3 linked regions of the Coturnix japonica genome follow. The protein of the gene in region 2 interacts with the protein of the main gene of each other region in a biochemical or structural test. Links are inferred from orthologs where the notes say so. Each region holds a gene or a part of one and is shown on either strand. Other genes may lie near its edges. The genes, in order: RNF8, UBE2D1 and EP300.

Region 1 (3,652 bases), on a different chromosome or scaffold from region 2:
AATTCTTTTCCATCTGCACAAGTGCGTATATTAATTTTGTTCTTAGTGCATGCACACAGAAATCTGCAGTGGAGTAATAACACAAGGTAAATAATATAATGCATTGATTTAATAAATGGGACACTGAACCATTAAGTTGGAAATTGCAAGGTTTATTTAAAGAGGTGGCTTGTTCTGACTGCAATACTGCAGAGACTGGATATGTTTACAGTTGCCAGAAATAACTTGCAGATGACTTTGTAACTGTATATTGAACCTTGCTGATTCTTTGTATTCAGAGTCTAAATGGAGTTTGGCTTAATAAACAGCGCCTGGATCCTTCAAGAACCTATCCTATAGCAGAAGGAGACCGTATCCAGTTGGGAGTGCCTTTGGAAAACAGAGAGACTGCTGAATTTGAGTATGAAGTAATTAAAGAGGAGTGGGAGAAAATCAAACCCTTTTTAGCCCAAAGGAGTGACCTGGGGAAAGCTAGGACCTCAAGACCTAAACGTAAATTTACTTTGGAAGAATCGGAGACATGTGGATCAGAAGGCCCTTCAAATTCCAGATCCAAAAGGGACAGAGTGTCGTGTGATGGAGAACCTTTGAGTAATACATTGGGAAGAGTAGGAGAGGCAGAACAGTTGACAGACAAGGGGGTTGTCAGGCTGCCCTCTCCTGGATCAAGTGAGGACGATGGTGGTCCAGTGCGTGGTAGCCTTGATTGCTCTGAGAAAGCTGTGGCTGTTGCTCACAAGGACCAGAAACACTCCGCTCTTTCTCAGTCATGGACTGGCCTGGAAAAGCTGAGGAAAAATCTCACAGATATAAAGAAATTAAAAGTCAAAGTGCAGGAGAAACAGACAGCAGTTCTGAATGCGAAGCAGAAGCGCAGGAAGGCTGCTCAGAAGACGATCCTAGCAATGGAAAAGGAACTGCAAGAGTTGCAGGACAAACTGTGCACAGAACAAGTACAGCATCAGCAGCAGGTGGAAGAGCTGGAGAGGACATTCTCCAAAGAGAAGCAGAAGCTAGAGGTATGATGGTGGTAATCATTTCAGTCTGTGTGTTTTGAGATATATATTTTTTTCCAATTACGAAACTAAAACTCTGACCCTCTGTGGGTTACAAAGAGGACACGTTAAAAAGCGTTCACGTTAAATGGGATTTTTTTCTTAGTATACAGCTTTTCTGAATTAATGCTAAATTCACGTGGGGAATTTATTTCCTTTTCAAGCAAGTGCATCATTTTTTGCCTGTCTTAATTCAGAGTCTGAGGAAGGAGGGGTTTTTGTTGTTGATTTTTTTGTTTTGTCTTTATTAGGAGAAAAACAGTCTCTTCTTGCTACCCGCAAGTGCCTTCTAGCACTGTGTGGATGCTGATAACTTGTTTTAGATAGGAAGCTACAAGTCTATCTTTCTGTTTGACTCTACTTGAAATCTGGTTCAAGGGAAGTAAGGATTCGTCTGAGAGTTACTTACCTGATTTATCAGTTACTTCCTTTAAAGTCTGCTGCTGAAAGCAGAATACTGTATCAGAAGTACAGGAGGTTTGGAGTTGTGTGCTTAGGATAAAGGGAAGTTCACCTGAAGCTGTAACTCTGTCTGGCCTATTTAAATGTGTTCAGAGAGAGAGCTTCAACTTTTTCTCATGTGTAAGCTATTGCCAGCTTCCTGGCTTCTGTGAACATTGCAGTGTCTTCAGAGCTAGAGTAACATGGAGTTGTTCCAAGTATGGAACTGTAAGTGATACATTCATTTTAGCACTTCACAGTAAATGGGAGCTGTAATTTCAGTAGTACACTTGAATCTCTACAGTAGGCCTTTTCAGTTTCTGCTGAAAATCAGTTTTGTTGCTTTAATTATATCCTCTAAATGTGCAAAATGGTTCTTTTCATTCCCGTGGTATCTTCAAGTATTTTTTTTTCTTCCTCCAATAATTGCTTTACTGCAAGAATGTCTAGTTTTGGTGTTTGATTTTTTTTTTTTTATTTTTTTTTTCAGGGAGTAAAAGGGCAGGATGGGGAAGAGAATCTGAAGGAGCAGCTGGTCCAGGTTCTGCAAGAGGCAAGTAATTAAATCTACTTGGTCTAAATATGGAACTCATATACTTAAATCTTACTGCTTCCACTCTTGGTGGAAGACTAGGACTGTGTCTAAAGTGCATTTTGAGTGGTCTTTATCTTCTACAGACTAAATTATTGCTAGGAAGAGACAGGCCTCCCTTCTTGAGAGTTGTTATTTATCAGCAGATAACACAAGAATCTGTGCTTTTAGAAAGTGTTAAGTAGTGTAGTGGTTCTACTTGAATCCGGTCCACATACTGGTGGATATTTTTGCTAGGTCTGTCCTCTGGTTATCTGTTTTGGGAAAGCTGCCTTGGTAGTTTTAAACCACAGGAAAAAGGACTAGTTTTGGTTAGGAATGTTTCTGAAAGAGATTGTCAAATGCTTAGTTTTCCTAGGCTTTCTGTCTAAAAGGTTTTAAGGCTAATCCAAAAAGAGATTCAACCAGCCCTTCTGACAGGCTTTTGTGACACTTGTGTGTCAGATACTCCTTGATACTCAAATGTAACAGATGCACTCAAGACAGTGACCAGAAAAGCAAAATGAAATGTAAAGTAAGTTGTAGGTGTTGGGTGAACTTCCTTAACACCTTGGCTTATATAGAGCTGGTGCTCTTACAGGAGAAGAAAGGAGAAATGAGTGTGCTGAACCTCATGATTAGATCCATGTGTATTTAATAGGGTAGCTTATAATAACACTCTTATTTTTGGTATCATGGTATCATTACAGCATCATGCTTTGATGGAAGAACTGAGCCGTAGTAAAAAAGATTTTGAGGAGATAATTCGAGCCAAGAATAAAGAACTGGAGGAAACCAAAGTAAGTAATAAAACTAAGTTCTCCGTAATTGGAATATGATATGCTGTGGCAGAATAAATGATTTAACATTTGCTTTGGCTGTGTGCTGCCTTCTGTGTTGAAAAGCTCTTGTATTTTGGTCTGGCGGCTGATTCACTCTGTATAAGATATACTCTTTGCTCTGTTTGTGGAGTAGTATTGCAGAGTTATTACCAGATACAGAAAGCACAGGACATCTGAATAATGTTGTGCAGGAGAAGCTGACCCATTCTTTTCTTTAAAAGAAAACCAAACAAGGGTATTGGAAAAGTGGGTGCTTCATTTTCAGTTTGCGTGGACTGGAGTGAAACTGCAGCATGTTCCAGCAGTCCAACAAGGGAGCACGGGACTGAGACAACGTAACATTTTAATAACGAATGAGATAAGCCATGTTTCTTCCTGCCTCTGTCAAGATGATGAGTGGAAGATAATTAAAGTGATCTTGTGCTGTGTTCTACACTTGGAAATTATGATGTTTCATTCCTCTGGCTATTTGCTTTGTTTTCTTCTGTCAGCTTTGCAACTGTTGCTTTAAGGATAGTTCTTAGAAGATGTAGCAGATGCCGGAAGCCTAATTTAACCCTAAACAACAAAATATGAAGATTGATCCAGTTTGTAGATTCTTTAGATTGAAGGGGACTTTAACAGTGGCTGTTCTTTCTTGTAAGCACTCTGTTATGGACAGGAATATTCTCAGTACTGCTGTAACTACAAAATGGAGGGAGGTTACAAATCTGGGTACATGGCAAACATGGACTTGACGTGGA
Region 2 (2,578 bases):
CGCCACACGGGGCCACAAGGTGACCCCAAGGGGCTGGGGAGGATCGGAGACCGGTTGTACGTAAGGTACGAGGCTGGACGGAACCGAGAGCGGAAGAAACGAGCTCTGCCAGCAGGCAATGTGAGCGCAGAGCCCCCTGCAACAAAGCGCTGCTTTCATAGCAACGCGAAACATTCCATCAGTGAGCAGAGCTGCTCCCCATGGAGCTCAGCTCACAGTTCATCGGTACAGCACAGATGTAACGCCAGCAGGATCCTGCAGGCAGAACCAAAGCTCCTACCGTGCCCCCTTCCCTCCTGCCTTGAAGTGGCCACCCAACATTGATTACAGTGAAGCACACTTAGTACATGCATTGAAAAAGGGAAAGAAACAAGCCAACAGCCAGGACAGCTAGTAGAAAATCCATTTTTATTTATATGGAAAAGGCTACATTTAGATTTGTAAAAGGTCTGCGTGTTATGCTGCCCACGTGTCAAAAATCAGTCGTGAAACGCAACAAAAAGGTTACATATCTTTTCTACACAGCAGTGCAATTAGTTCACATTGCAATAAAATTAAGTCAAGTATGCAACAGAATCAAAACCATGTGTCTGTCCGTAATCATACCAAGAATTACAGTGCAAAGAGCATTTTAGGTTTTAAGAAGTCTGCAGTCAGTCTTTAGAACACCCCAGAGCGGGCAGGATATCCCTTCATCACCAGCAGTTGTATGTTGTCAATACCGTGCACGAGAAAGTCAGTCTAGAATGAAATGACTTACACCGTAAATAAAATATATTTAGTCTATACAATTAAAAATACAAATTATAGATGTGAACTAGCAAAAGGAAATCCAAACACACCTATGAAACAGATCGTATATCTTAAAGACACACATACAGTATCATCACTTAAAAACGGCTACTTCTCTCCAGCAAAAATAATTTGGCTGCTTTACAACTGCATTAAGGATCTCGCAGTCTGAAGATGCAGATGTCCAACTCTTAAAAACCATAATAAATGTCTTCTGCAAAGCATACAAAGAGGATAAATACTCTCGTCACAGTCATAAGGTTATTTTTGGAAGTTTTCCCTTGCTCCAGAAACACACTTACATGGGTGGAAAAAGAAAACATTCAAGGGGCTCGATGGGACGTTCCAACAGTCGGCTGTGCTCCGTTTCCTTCTAAGTTTGAAAAAAACACACTAGAATTTACAGTACTCTGTGGTGTATGAAAAAGTCTTCACAAGTTTACATTGCATATTTCTGAGTCCATTCTCTCGCGTGTCTGTTGTATCTGTATGTGCGGAAAGAAGGCATTACAGTGAAGAGCTGTTAGATCTTGATGAAGACGTGCAATAATCAATAGGCTACTTGCATACATTGCAAGAGATCTTCAGTAACTCAGCACTAAAGATAACCCACAGGTACCCAAATGTATTCTACAAGGTAAGAAATATTTGTTGATATCACGGAACTCCCGCAGGCAGGTTATTTCACTCTTTGTAAACTGGACTGGATCTGTTTGTAAAACTTTTGCCTCACAAGGATTATTTTCTCCATAGAACCTTTAGAAACCACACAGTCTAGTCTGCACTATACAGGGCTTGAGCTTCTTGCCACCTGCAATTGCTATGAACTCTTAAGAAATGGATGAATCACTTGACTGGCTATCTACAGATGTCACTACTTCAAGCTGCAGTGCTTGAAGAAGCCACCCTGTGAACACAGGGCTCTGAAACACAACTCCAGGAGTGCCAAAGCCCTGGATTTGCAAGCGACCTTTACATCGGTTATCTGATCTTGTGGGGGTTCAGCCAGGCAGGCAGCCAGATCACAGCACTTCAAAACCCTCCATAGGAGCGTTGCACAAATAGCAAGCCTCAATAACATCATACAACATACAACAGTATGATGGTTTTATGCAAAAAAATATCTAACAGTTGTGTATGCCTACAGATTCCTGCTATTTTACTAATAGATGCTGTCAATATTTCAATAGCCAATACTCTACCATTAGATATCTCTAAAGGGATTTTTCAAGGAAATGGACAGGCTGCTGTAGCCAATCACCATCTGCAAGTACCACACAAATACATCTGTGTTATACTCACTTTTCCTTGTCTGACTTGTAGATCTGTGCAATATCCGGTACTAGAGGATCATCTGGATTAGGATCACAAAGTAAGGAGCATATGGACAATAAAACTAAATAAAAGAGACACCAAATTAAGCAAGTTAGTTCACTTGGTTTCTGCAGTCCTTTATGTAGACCAGTACACAAAATGAAGAAAGGAAGACTGGAAAGGAAATACACAAGTATGAAGCTTTCAGACAGCAGTCCTGCTCAGGAATATAGAATACAGCTCTTAGCAATGACTTAGACAACAGCTGCATCTTAAAGTTCATCTTAGAGGAATGCCAGTCAGAACCATTTATTTCTTGTTAAAATCTGGTGTGATTAAGATCCCTGCCTACGCAAGTACGCTCAAGCAACCAAAAGCCATCTTGAAAACTCCATAAGTAAAGAGGCCCCCCTACATGCCAGTACCCTGTTTTTCCCATTTATGTTCAGATTCCTTTGGTTTTACAGCTTTG
Region 3 (3,752 bases), on a different chromosome or scaffold from region 2:
GTAACCAAGTGCTCTCTCAGCAGAATGATACCAAAAGCTCATCTGCTTCTCAAGAGGCATCTAAAAGCAGAGCATCCCATTGGTACACCCTCTGCTCTCCCAGCACAACCAGATCTATCTGCAAGGGGTTGGGACACCCATCATTTCTCACCTCCACAGCATCACCAAGGAGCTCTAAAGGGACTGCAGAGAAGCCCCTCCATCTTCATAACCTGTATGTCTACAGGGTAGTTTCAGACATTTTGGTCTCACAGCAAAGAAACGGGAGATGCAAGAAGTGCACTCCATATTGATTCTTGATGCAAATAAGGTGAAGTAACATTTTGTTTCTCTAAGAGTCCTGATGAACCTCGTGCCCTAAAGTGGCAATCTGGTTTCAGGCTTTAGGCCACTGGCTTTGGCAAAAGAGCTATCAGAAGCAAATGAAAAAGCAAATTTGGGACATTCCTCAGCAAAGAAGAACAAGGAAAACAAATAATACAATACGATCAAATAAACAGTATGCATGGGGAGGGGGGGGGGGAGAGAAAAGGAACAGAGAAATAAAGCCAATTACTAAACAAACTCTAGAGGCAAAAATATACACGTGAATCTATGTAAAACAAGAAATAAGCCACGCATTTGTGTATGTGGACAGGCACACCCATAAATTCAACAATAAAGAGTGCTAAAGATGATGCTCCTGTGCAATTTCAATCTTCTGCAACGGGAACTCAAGGCACCCAGCCTCGCCGAGGAGCTCTGCCATAGCGACAGCGTAAAAGACGAGAAATGGACTAAATCTGGGCAGCGATTGCCCAAATGCACAATGCAGAGACTAGCTTCGCTTCCAAAAGAAACAGAAGGGCAGAAACACGCGAACACCCTCCTGCACCGTGAAGCAAATAGGTTCGGAGCTGGAAAGGCCGAGGGCAGGCCCGAGGCAGAGGGAAGGAACGGGGAATTCGGGCAGGAGAGGGAAGAAATAGGGGAAAAAAGGGAGAGGAAGGAGGCCGAGGCCCGAGCCCCCGAGACTGACCTGTGCCGTCGCTGGCGGACACGGAGAGCGCCGGCGAGGAGAGTTTAGGCCGCTTGGCTGAAGGCGGGCCCGGCTCCACCACATTCTCGGCCATTTTTAATTCTTTTTTAGACAATCACTCCGAGCAGAGAAACGGCGGGGGGAGCCCCCAACTCCTGGGGCCGGGCCTTCGGGGGGCTGCGGTGCGGCGATGCGGAGGGGCGAGGAGCGGCCGAGTTCCCCTTTTTCCGCCCCTGGGAGGAGCGGGGCGAGGTGGGAGCGGAGGGGCTGAGAGAGGCCTCTGCCCGCGGGCGCGGGGCCGCGCGGGGATGGCAAAAGCCCCCGCCAAAAAGAATAATTAAAAAAAATATTAAAATAATTAATAATAATTAAAAAAAAAGAGGCTGGTGGTGTTGGTTATTTTGTTGTTGTTGTTGTTGTTTGGGTTTTTTGTTGTTTTTTTTCTTTCCTTCCAGTGAGATTAATCCCGGCTGTTGTGCTGCTGGTGCTTCCTCGCCGCCGCCACCATCATCACCTTCATCCTCCGGGGGCTCTTCTCCTCCTCCTGCTGCTGCCTCCTCACCGCCGCCATCAGCCTCTTCCTCCTCGGCGCCGTCCTCCTCCTCCTCATCGCCACCAGGAGGCGGGCGAAGGAGGAGGGGAGAGAAGAAGGAGGAGGAAAAAAGAAAAAACGACCGCCGTCCTCCTCCTCCCGCAGCAGCGCCTTCCCCCTCCGACACCACCCTGCGAAAAAGAACCCACCGGCAGCGAGCGGGCCGGGGGCAGGCGGCCGGCCGGGCGGCCCCAGCTCCAACGCGCGTTTTCCTCTCGGTCGCTCCGCTTAATGGCTGCAGCAAGGGGAGCTGGAAGGAGGATGAGGATAAGTCCCAGGAGTCTCCGCTTCACATCTTGTTGTGCAGAAGGAGGAGGGGTTGTTGTTCTGATGGAGGCAGCGCCGATCGCGGGATGGGGAGCCGGGGGGCCGGGTTTCGACACCCTTCTCTGCCTACCCCCCCCTTCTCCGCCCTTCTCTTCTTTTTCCCCTTCCTCTTTCTCTCGCTCTCAGTAGTGCGCTGCCCCCCCCTCGGGCGCAGGCAGAGGGGCCGAGCCCACGGCAGCAGCAAGAGGAGGAGGAAGGAGCCGGCCCCTCCCCCGCTCTCTGCCTACCTTCCCCCTCCTCCCGGGCGGCTGAGGATGGCTGCGGGCGCCGGGGCCGGGCGGGGAGGGGGCTGCCCGGCTCCGCTCCGCCACGGGGACTCCCTCTTCGCGAGGGTGGGGAAAGGAAGCGACGAGGTTGGTAGCGGGGAGGGGGGGGGGAAAGGAGAAGGAGGAGGGGGTGCGGCTCAGCGACCCCTTCGAGCTGAACTGAAGCGGGGGATGGGGGGAAGGGAAGGGAGGGGGTTAAAATTAAAGTAATAAAATCAAATAAAGATTCCGCCGGGAGTGGGTTAAATGGCCGAAGGAGGGAGGGAGAGGGGGAAGGGGAGGGGGGGTCCCGGCGCTGCCCGCGGGGGGGCGGATGGGCGGGGGGGGCGGGACGCGCAGCGGCGCGGGGGCCGGGCGCAGGCTCCCTACTGCCCCTGCCTGGCGCTCAGCGGCCGCCGCTCCCGGAGCGTGTGCGACGGCGCGGGCGAAGCGAGAGCGGGGGGGAGGAAGGAGGAGAGGGGAGAAATTAAATAGAAGGAAATTAAGAAATTAAAAAAAAGGGAAGGGGAAAGAGAAGGGAGATAGCGGGGGGCGGGCGGCTCGGGTCCTCGCTGCTCTCCCCGTCCCCTAGTCGGGCCCCTGGGTCTCTCTGCGCTGCCCTCCCCCCGGCTCGCCCCGTCCGCTCGGCCTCTGGCTCTGTCTCTCCCTCCCTCGGTCGCTCACACACAAACAAAATGGCGGCTGTTGTTTCTTCACTCTGCCGAGTCCTCGGAGGGAAGCGAGCGGCGGCGGCGGCGGCCGGAAATGAGCCAAGAGGGGGGGGGGAGAAAAAAGGGGGGGGCGTGGTCAGCGCTTGGGGGCGGGGCCAGGGGGCGCTGGCGCACACAATGGAACGCGGGGGGCCGGCGTGCGGCAGCCGGCGGGAAGGGCGGGGCCGCCGCGAGGTCACGAGACCGCGTCGACGAATCAGCGGGCGCCGCTCGCCGGCTTCTTCCGCAAACTGCGTTGGCCCCGCCCCTTAAAGGGGAAGTGCCCCCCCCAAAAAAAAAGCTACGTTTCCTCCTTCCGCTCGTCACGCACTTTTCCGTCGGCCAAGAAGCGGCTGGTGGCGGTGGCTCAGAGCGGCCTGCGGCACCGCTAGGCCCCGCCCCGGCCCTACACCGTCAGTCGCGTCCTGCCGGGCCCGGCACCCGACGTCACTCGCCACAGCCATAACCCCTCGCAGCCCCTGAGCCATTGAGGGCTTAACGGGGATTAGCGGCTGGCCAGGGGTTGCTCAAACCTTTAAACGCTCGTCATGTGTCATTAGCGAGGAAATGCCCCAGCCCAGCTCCTCTGTGAAGCGATAAGAGAGGGAAGGAAGTGCGGGGCTGCGTGTGTTCTTCGTGGAAAGACGCAGTTCCTTTCGATGTGCACTGTCCCGTTTGGAAGGAATTCGAGCTCTGCGTGTTGGTTCGTCAATAAAAGAGTCCAGGAAAATGATACGTTTTTAATCTTCTGAAGGTCTAAGTGCTTAGTTGAGATTTCTACCTTAAACTTGGGTTGGGGGGGGGGGGGTAGAGACTCACATCTCATCATACACGATCTGTGAGGCCTTCATAGCATCGGC

What was found.
Region 1: the proteins of UBE2D1 (region 2) and RNF8 form a complex in vitro, tested with the Homo sapiens proteins (2 studies listed by BioGRID). The link is inferred for Coturnix japonica from reciprocal best matches to the Homo sapiens genes UBE2D1 and RNF8.
Region 3: the proteins of UBE2D1 (region 2) and EP300 form a complex in vitro, tested with the Homo sapiens proteins (2 studies listed by BioGRID). The link is inferred for Coturnix japonica from reciprocal best matches to the Homo sapiens genes UBE2D1 and EP300.

What each region holds. Positions count from the first base shown.
Region 1 is NC_029518.1:27,120,498-27,124,149, reverse strand, and holds part of RNF8 (E3 ubiquitin-protein ligase RNF8), read left to right. Parts: intron 1-278; coding exon 279-1,019; intron 1,020-1,986; coding exon 1,987-2,049; intron 2,050-2,777; coding exon 2,778-2,867; intron 2,868-3,652. UniProt on the Homo sapiens protein: E3 ubiquitin-protein ligase that plays a key role in DNA damage signaling via 2 distinct roles: by mediating the 'Lys-63'-linked ubiquitination of histones H2A and H2AX and promoting the recruitment of DNA repair proteins at double-strand breaks (DSBs) sites, and by catalyzing 'Lys-48'-linked ubiquitination to remove target proteins from DNA damage sites.
Region 2 is NC_029521.1:5,293,437-5,296,014, reverse strand, and holds the end of UBE2D1 (ubiquitin-conjugating enzyme E2 D1), read right to left. Parts: intron 2,189-2,578; coding exon 2,095-2,188; intron 1,278-2,094; coding exon 1,232-1,277; 3' UTR 514-1,231; downstream 1-513.
Region 3 is NC_029516.1:45,453,091-45,456,842, forward strand, and holds the start of EP300 (histone acetyltransferase p300), read right to left. Parts: upstream 2,482-3,752; 5' UTR 1,113-2,481; coding exon 1,019-1,112; intron 1-1,018. UniProt on the Homo sapiens protein: Functions as a histone acetyltransferase and regulates transcription via chromatin remodeling. Acetylates all four core histones in nucleosomes. Histone acetylation gives an epigenetic tag for transcriptional activation.